Linked DNA regions of Drosophila melanogaster. The protein of the gene in region 2 interacts with the protein of the main gene of each other region in a biochemical or structural test. Each region holds a gene or a part of one and is shown on either strand. Other genes may lie near its edges.

What was found.
Region 1: of the proteins of rasp (region 2) and hh, one has a biochemical effect on the other in vitro, tested with the Drosophila melanogaster proteins (one study listed by BioGRID).

Annotation. Positions count from the first base shown.
Region 1 is NT_033777.3:23,138,712-23,143,684, forward strand, and holds the start of hh (hedgehog), read right to left. Parts: upstream 3,196-4,973; 5' UTR 2,811-3,195; coding exon 2,331-2,810; intron 1-2,330.
Region 2 is NT_037436.4:3,160,161-3,164,352, reverse strand, and holds rasp (rasp), read right to left. Parts: upstream 2,174-4,192; 5' UTR 2,155-2,173; coding exon 652-2,154; 3' UTR 501-651; downstream 1-500. Other genes in the region: ASCIZ zinc finger protein, read left to right, coding at 1-444; CG15812 (uncharacterized protein), read right to left, coding at 2,629-4,182. UniProt on the Drosophila melanogaster protein: Required in hedgehog (hh) expressing cells for production of appropriate signaling activity in embryos and in the imaginal precursors of adult tissues.

The DNA.
Region 1 (4,973 bases), on a different chromosome or scaffold from region 2:
TTTGTGCTGCCGTGCGAGCAACTGTTAATTGTTCGCCAGTTTCTGGAAAGGCTGCGATACCTTTTGATTGCATATCAAATTCAAGGTAACATCTGAAATGGCTGCAACCATTTAGAATCCCCCGATGGGCGCGTGGCAGTTGCCAAATGCAATTTGGAATTGGTTTTCAAGTGAAACTCTAGCAGGCGAACAACTGGTTCGATAATACGATTTAACTTTACAGTACAGTAAAATCTGATTTTTAAAGATCTAAGTCGTTTTTGCGAAACACTAACCACTGACTAATAAATCAACAAATCGAAAGTCATTGTAACACTTGTGTGGGCGATACTAAACCCTTTAAATCAACTATATTAGTCGGTTGGCAGGCGTAATCTGTCTTCCCACAATTCTGATTATTAGTTTGTTGTTCAATAGCACCAAATCGTCCAAGGAAACTGGAAGTCCGCCATAAAAGCCCAATAGCTCGTTTATGGCGCTAATCAATAACAAGGCTATTTTTACACATCGACACTTAAAATTTCATTAAAGTAACACGAAGATAAGCTGGTGGGAAGCGTGCCGATTATATATATCAGCAACTTCAATGTCGGCCCTCTTAGGGGGTCTTGACTGTGCTAAGCCGACTTCTGGCCGCAACGCAACCACCCCACTAACTGCTGGCTAATTGGAAATGTTGTCGCATGGTGCTTGAATTGAACACTTGTTTTAGCTGTTTCGCACTTTGAAACTCAACCACCGCTCCCCCACCAACTGGGTGGTCATCCCACCGCCACCCACTCCACTTTCACTACCCCCGCCCCTTTTTTTTTATGGCGATAAGATACTGCTGTTCTTCGCCTTAGCTGGTATCTTAGCACACATTTTGTTCTGGCACCGATATAGCGCAACTAGCAACGTATAACGTATAACGTATAACTTGCACCTAAACTAATTTTCACATTTTATTTCACACATAAAAACCATCATATACCTCTTTTAGCATAAACCATAAAGTGGCAAGCATATAGTATTATGCCAAGCGAACCCAATTTCTTTCAGTGCCAGCATGTAGCTACACATGTTGGCAAATATAGGGTGACTATCTGGGGGGATAGTAACCGTGTATTGGCAAACGAACTACTTGGCTGCAGTCCGCTTATCAGACAATCGCCGGTGATAAGCGGCAAATGCTCGCGTGCCTCCACTTTTGGGGCGCGGACAGGGTGGGCGGTGGGCGGTGGGCGGTGGTTTTGGCTGAGTAAAACCTGATAAATACCGGGACTTGTAATCTCCCGCATTCGATACCCTGTTTGTTGTTCAGCGCGAAATCGAAAACGCATTTGCGAAGCGTACACACAATGTTGAGTAAACTATGTATTTGCAATGATGACCCGGGGATCGATTGGGCTCGAGGTTGTTGAACGCGTTCGCTCGGTTTGTTTGGATTTCGGGACGCTTTGCAGCTTTATGGCTTAGTTCGATGGAATTCAGGCGCTATCTACCGTTCAGCCGTCGAGTATCGGGCTTCCTGTTTTTTTGCACTTGCGAAACAAGTGCAGTGCGGCGATAAGATGCATAATTAATCATATAAATGGCCAATGCTCAAAACTAATACTATATTTCAGCCCAGTTTTATGGCAGCCATCGCCACCATAAAGTTGGTGAAATAGCCAATGCTCGATCAATGATTGGGCACTTTTCCGCCACGTAGCGTTTATCAATGGGAACCGAGTGGCACAATCTCGTGCCATCGGGCGATCGCTAGATACGGGCTATAAAACAGCGCGAGCGATAAGCGATCGCTAATTTGACAATTGAATTTACGGACCACGACGGGTGGCAAAATGTGAGTGCAGTGCGCAATAAGCACGGAATTAGCCTAGCCGCAAATCGGAACCCAGCTGTCTGATATAGAAGACGAATTCGGAACAATATCAGCAATAAAATCTCATCTAAATGGTGTGTTTGACCTCCATACCTCAGATTTAACAGGCATTTCATTGTGTTCCTATATCAAAGTAGGCTTACTTTTATCACAAAATAATACCTAGACCAAATATTAAGTGTACTATTAAAGCATTACAAGTTCCGTTTGGTAGAGTTATCTCACATTTTTTCCTAGAATTAGTCATTTATTTGGCGTAAGACTGGGTTTTCACTTCATTTGTGTTGCTAACAATACTAAATGTTAAGTAATTTCTGATTAATCGTGATTAATAAGTCAATATTTCGGTTTTTACAAATAATTTTTAAGTCACTTTGTCACAATGATTCCGATAAGCGAAACTTTCCCAATGATGTATTACAAATTTTGTTACTAGCTTACGGTGTTTGAGGGTTTTCCTTACCTTGCTCATCAAGCGATCCGCTCCGGTGCCTTCCTCGTCGCGGAAAAGGATGTCCCTGTTGTAGTTGGGCACGAGGTCCTTGAATTTGGGCGAGTCCCGACGGATCACACCCTCCAGAGGTCCGGAGGCGCTGTTCGTGTACTCGGATAGATTGGGAATTGTCTGCTTGAGGACCAGCGGATACAGGTTGCGCGCCCTATGACGACCCAATCCTCGGCCAGGACCGCAGCTGTGAGCCGGGCTAAAGACCATCGGCAAGACGATCAGCAGCAGGGCCACCAGAGAGGTCAGCCTGCTGAGGCAACGCTGCGTATGCGCAATGTGGCGCATCGTTTGCGTTTCTTCTTGCGGGATTGCGGAGATGGAGCTCGCTGCGGATTTGGAGCTGGAACTGGAACTGGAACTGTGGCATTTGGCATCCAGGGAGAGACAGGTGACACTGGCGGCACTGGCCCAAGGCACTGAGCTGTGGTTATCCATGATTTATCTAAGACTCGTTGTTTGCTGTTTCTCTTGATTGGATTTTGTATCTCCTTTAATTTTTTTTATTTATTTTTTTGGTTATTTAGCACTTCACTTTTGGCACACAGACACGCTTATTTGGCGACACGTTTGTTATTCAGATTTATGGTATTATTTGGATTTAAACTGGCTAAATCGAAATACTTGAGTCGGCGAAATCGCAGGTCCTAACTGACTTAACTACGGTCTTAACTGTTCTCCGCTGAACTGGCAGTTAGCTCTCGGTTCGGACAACCGTTGCGCTCGCACTGTGATTGACAAATGACATTTCCGAGCGGAGTATCGTGCGCGCAGAGTGTTCGAGTGCGAGTACGAGTACGGCAGCGAATACGAATGCGAGTATAAGTACGAGTACGACGAGGGTGCTTTCAAGAACCCTAGGCCTTTTAGCTCACACAAACACACACGCACACACACACTATCGCCTCGAGTTCATTCCGCGTTGTGATTGTATGCGTATGCCACTCGACGTTCGATCGGCTGTGGTGTTCATTTTTATGCTGCCTTATGCGCAAGGGAAGTGGAAGCGGGACAACCAGATGATGCAGCATACTCACAAGACTGGTTTGCATGTGTTAGTGCCTGAGTCTTCGGCTCTTATGTACAAGCAATGTTGGCAACAGATGTTGGATGGCATTGGCATAGTGTGCTGCGGTCCATTATGGCCATGGATGAAAGTGTGTGCCTGTTGCCAATTGGATGTGTGATAGTGTGCGTTGCTGGCGCAGAAGAGCTGCAGCATCCTCGACTGCAACTGCAATTTCTCTTAACACTTGCACTACTCGGACTCGACTCGACTCGAGTCTTGTGGCTTGTTAGCCGCTTCTGGCCCTGCAACTCCTCCATCGCAGGCCATTGTTCACTTTTTTCCGTTGCCTTTCTTCGTTTTGTTGTTCGTTTCGCTTTATTGCTTGTAAATTAATAATGTTCCGGTTTTTTGTGTATTGTGTGACTCCTGGGCAGCCTTATATATATACATACATATATATGTATATTGTATATGGTATGATATGTGGAGTACATATGGGTTCAATGCTGCTTCCGTTTGCCAGTCTTCAAGGAACGGAAAAAGTGCTTAAAACTAAAGTACTTTATGATCATCGAAGGCTCCGAGCTTATGTCACCCAGTGAGTCATTCATATGCCCCTCAGGTAGTGGTCATGTTCCGATTAGATATCGCCTTAGGACCTACAAATTACTGGTCAATTTAACAATTTCCTTCTCCGCCAGAGGTTCCGTTCAACGCCATGTCAATAATCGCAAATATGTCTATATATATTGCAAAAACCGATAACGATTTTGGCAAATACAATTTGCAATTAGGTACCTTATATTTATGCACAGCAAATAACTAAGTTGCGGATTGATGCCGCACTCTGGAAATCAATAAATTTCCAGTTTTATCTCTGTTGACTTTGGCTAATATAAAATTCCCCACAACTGGGAAATCTCCAATTTAACTTTTTAGCTTTTTCGCACTTTCAGAACTTGGATCTGTGGCAAGCGCTAATCTTTTGTTTTGGCTCTTTTTCCAGACCTTATTTATTTTTTTGCGGTTGCACCAGGTCTATTTGCACTGTCACTTGGCAAGCGCGAATTGTGGAATACGCCCGTCAATGTGTGCCCAAGAAATTGTCACTTTCCAACGGGGTAGAACCAAGGGCCAAGGTGCACCTGCTCATGTAACGGATTCCATGGGGGGGCATAGCATTTTTTTTTTTTTTGGTAACGCTCTGGAATGCAAGGCATAGCATAATAATTTCGACAAAAAACGAAATGAATCGAAGAAAAAAAATAAAACGAATCGAAAGAGGAGAAATACAATAGCTGGTCGTGGCGGCAAAAGATATAAGAGAAGGCAAAACGCCATCAACAAGATACACGGAACCAAATTAAAGATGAAGAAGCTGAAATGGAAGGGGGTATGGAATATACGAGTCTTGGATGCTGGGCCATCGGGCATTCGAGTGTGTGTGCGAGAGTCTATGTGGCTGCCACATAAATTTCTGCCTTCTTTGTGTGCGCACCGAACTCATTACGTTCGTCGCTGTGTGTATCTGTGTGAGTTTCGAATGTGTCTTTGGGCCTCCGCATCTGTATCTGTATCTGTATCTGTGGGGC
Region 2 (4,192 bases):
GATGTGTCCTATGCGCTAGAGATGTCATCCCAGAAACTAGATATGGAAACACAAACGGAGGAGGACGATCTGAATGAAATCAGGAACGAAGTGCTGGCGCCCTTGTTACGCGATATAGAAACCCAAACGCCCGACACCAGAGGCGACATAGGAACGATGACCGATGATTTCCCAGAGGAACAGGAGCCTGTTGCGGTCGGAAGCCATTTCCACGCGTATTCAGAAACTGAACCTATGTTTGACTTGCAAACCTCTGCCCACATGTACACCCAAACTTGCGACGATTTGTTTGAGGAACTGGGGCTGTCCCACATCCAAACCCAAACTCACTGGCCAGATGGTCTGTACAACACGCAGCACACGCAGACATGCGATGAAATAATGGACGAACTCTTCCCCGACAACTTTCAGTCCACTTGCACGCAAACCAGGTGGCTGGACTGAAAGGATACTAGGAGAAGGCGGAAGGTAGAATGAACAGATAAAAAACTCATTGTATTATATACAATTATATATTTATTATTTGTTAAAGTGAAAATTAAGTAAATTATTATTCTGTGAAAACACAAAACAATTCTAAAGCCGTCTTATAATACAAGTTCGTTCATAAGTAGTCAGATTCACGTAAATCTAGACAGACTTTTGGCGAGGTCAAAAAGTTTTGGTCTTGGAGCGACCATCCGACTTGGTCAGGAGCAACTCAGAGCATTGAAAAAAACAATAGCTGCAGAAGCAGAGTGCCACATAGTTGCCCACTCCACTAAGATAGGCGCCACGCATTAGAAAGTCTCCAATCTCCTGTCCGCCGATAAAGTAGACATTGGAGAAGGCGGCCGGAATGAAGAGCTGGGTGGCCAGCATTGCGTACAAGCGCTGAGCACCCACGGCTCCCAGATGACGCTGTGTCCACCGCTGGTACTCCGGCATCGCGGTAAACGTCTTAAACACCTTCTCTGCAGCCAGGCAGAGGAAGTTCAGAATGCTCCAGATAAGCACATAGGTGTAGCATCCATGCCAGACGAACACAAAGGCGAAGGTCAATGCGGTGGCACCGAACTTGGCCGCTGCCGATGATCGCTTGCCGCACAGCTCTGCGTAAATGTTCTGGAAAAGGAATTCGTACAGACCCTCATCGAAGTACTTCCACATGTCCGAGTAGAAGTGGATGCGTCCGATGCAGCGCGGTCTATTGGGCGCTGGGATGCCATCCTGCACAGCAAAAGCTATTCCCAAGCCGTATGTCACCACGTAGTACAGGAAAAAGAACTGGCCCATGAAATAGCCGGCGGAGTGCTGCCAAAACACCGAGTCCATCATCTCCACCATTCGCACATCCCGCGACATGTAGTGTATATAGAAATAGTGGAGGGCGCACTGCATCACCAACCACCATATGGCGCTGCGCAGGACTCCTCCGACGAATCCCAGCCAGTTTTGCACTTCATCCTCCCTCCGGGCTGCGAACCTCTGGTAGCTAATGATCGGCCCATAGGTCAGACAGGGAAAGTACATGGCGTAGCCCAGATACTGGACGAGGCTGTATCTCGTAAGATCCTCCTGCTTAGCTCCAATCTTGGACAGGGAATAACTGCATCCGCGAAGCACACTCCAGGACATTGTGACAATCACCAGGACGTATTCCGTGTAACCAACGCGATCTGTCCACCAGACATTCTTTTGCATCACATTGATGCACAGTATCCAGCCAGCGGACAAAAGCCACACGAGAAATTTTAGTGAGAGCAGGGAAACGATGTAGTAGCTGGCTATCAATGTGACTAGTAGTACCATCGATGACCAGTCCAGGTTTACACTAAGAGCCAAGGCACAGACGCCGATGAATCCCAGACACTGAAGGCGGGGACGTTTCCAGCGTATGAATCCTTGGACAGCCACGTGCAGCAAGTAAAAGGGCCAAAAGCTGACGATAAAGTCTCCAAAGTTCTCCAGCTCATCGTTGCTGTCATCCCGACGCCGCTGGGAAAAAGGATACAAACTCCAGCCCTCCGGAAACTGGAACTTTGCCTCCTTGACTATGTGATCCCGCAGCCCATAGATCTTGTACAGGCCCACAACTATATACGCTATATAGACCCCGAAGTAGACGAAAATTTCGCAGCGGGTGAGCAGGGATCGGTCTGGTAACCTTGACATCACTACACCACCGATTTGGACTCTTCATTCCGGGAAAAGATTGCGATAGGGATGTGAAAAACCAGCGAAAATATCGATATTTTTATACCCTTGCTGGAGAAGAGTACCGGCATTTTAATTACATGCATGTACATATTTCTCTCATGTTATAAATTTGACCCATTTAAAAAGAAGTTTTTGTTAATTTTTGGTTGTATTTAATTAACCAATTACGATGGAGTGAACAATAAAAGAGCAGCAGTTAAAATGGTAATGGTATCTACATATAGAACTAAGTCTACAAAACTACCTCTAGAATAGCATCTCTTGCTGCTCTTCCGGACTCAATTTTGGTTTCATCAGGAGATAGGATATGGTTGATGTACATACACTGATGGGACAACATGAAGTTAAACCCTATGCTTATGGCTTCTTAATGGTAACTTATTGATTCCAGCTGAACGTTTGTAAAACCAGAACTCCGAAGGCTTATTTCTAGTTTAGCATATCGTCTCCGTAATTGGCCTTCAATTCCTTCTTGACCTTTTTATTCTGGCTCGTCGTGCGTCGCTGCAGGTGTCTCCAGAGCGTGCTCTTGGGGATCTCGAAGAGGTTGGCCGCGTGGTTTTGGGACATTCCCTCATTCAGGCAGGCATGCACCGCCTTGGCTAATTTGTCGCGCAGCTCATCCTTGGGCGTATTGTCGCGCTTTCGGCAGGACACGAAGTTGGGCAGGCGTCCCTGGGCGGACAGACGAACCTTGTGTCTGTGCAACGTGGACATGGGGATTTGCAACTCACTGCTGATGCTCTTTAAAGAATGTCCATTCTTCAGTCGCTCGTAGGCCTCTTGCAGGGATGGTCGTTCCCGATTGTTTCGCATGTAGGCGGGATTAGTGCGCACGCGTCTCCAGAGGACTGTCTTGGAGATATCAAACCGGTCGGCGGCCTTTTGTAGGCTTAAGCCCTCGATGATAACCGCGTCGGCCGCCAGATCCAAAGCATCGTTGATATCGTCTTTTACCTCACGTTTCAGAGCTGCGAACTGCTGGATTCGCGTTGGCTTGCAATCGGACAATCGTTTGACAGCCTTCGCACTTATGGGGCGACGGATTCGCGTCTTTCCCCCGCCCAACTTGCGGGGCTTATCGTCTATTTCCTCGTCCACAAGTTGGTCGTGCACGTCGTCATCGTCGTCCATTTCAGTACCAGCTTCTAGTTCCATAAGAGGATCGGCTTGCGCGAACTCCTCGTCGATCATTTGTGATTCGTGCTCCTCAGAATCCTCAGCAAGGTCCGCATCCACGTCATCATCGCCCAGGTCCACTTCAGCGCCACTGGTACCCGTTTCATCTGCCTCAATTTTGGACAAACTCGATGCTGACTGCGTTATGGTGAAAGTGCCCGTGTTCTCGGTGAGTATAAATTGGTTGCCGCTGGAACTTCCGTCCATGTGCTCGATGGAGTAGGTGATCTTCGGCGGCTCGTAGACATCAATGTACTCCAATGACCGACTGGAATGGCTGGGCTGGTGTTGAGAACCCGCGAGTGTAGTGGCTGGGACGGAGACCATCGGATGTGGCTCTTCCTCGTCGTCCAGCAGCTCGGCCTCAGCGATTTGGAGTCCTGTAATGGACTTGGCCGACTCCACGGCTAACGAATGGTTCTCTACATCGACACTGGGTGGACTAGCCGATGGATTGCACTCAAAGCTGATGGCAGATTTGATGCCGAGGAGGTTAATGGCCTCCAGGAACTCGGGGAGCGACGCGGAGGGCAGGCTAGTCTCGCCCATGTAAATGAAGGACAGCATGCACTCCAGCAAATCTCCGCGGATGTCGGGCAGCATTATGGTTGCCTCCTGGCCGCGCGGAACGTCCACCAGGAGGTTGCGCATCAGTTCGCTGCAAGTGCTTAGCACGAATAGATGGGCGCGCACTCGAACGCCGTCCCTGGAGGCCAGCACCACCTCGCAGTGCTGATTATCATTACGCAGCGAGCGCTGGATGTCCATTATCGTGGATGAGTGGCCCATCCACTTAAGATGATTCTGCAAACGG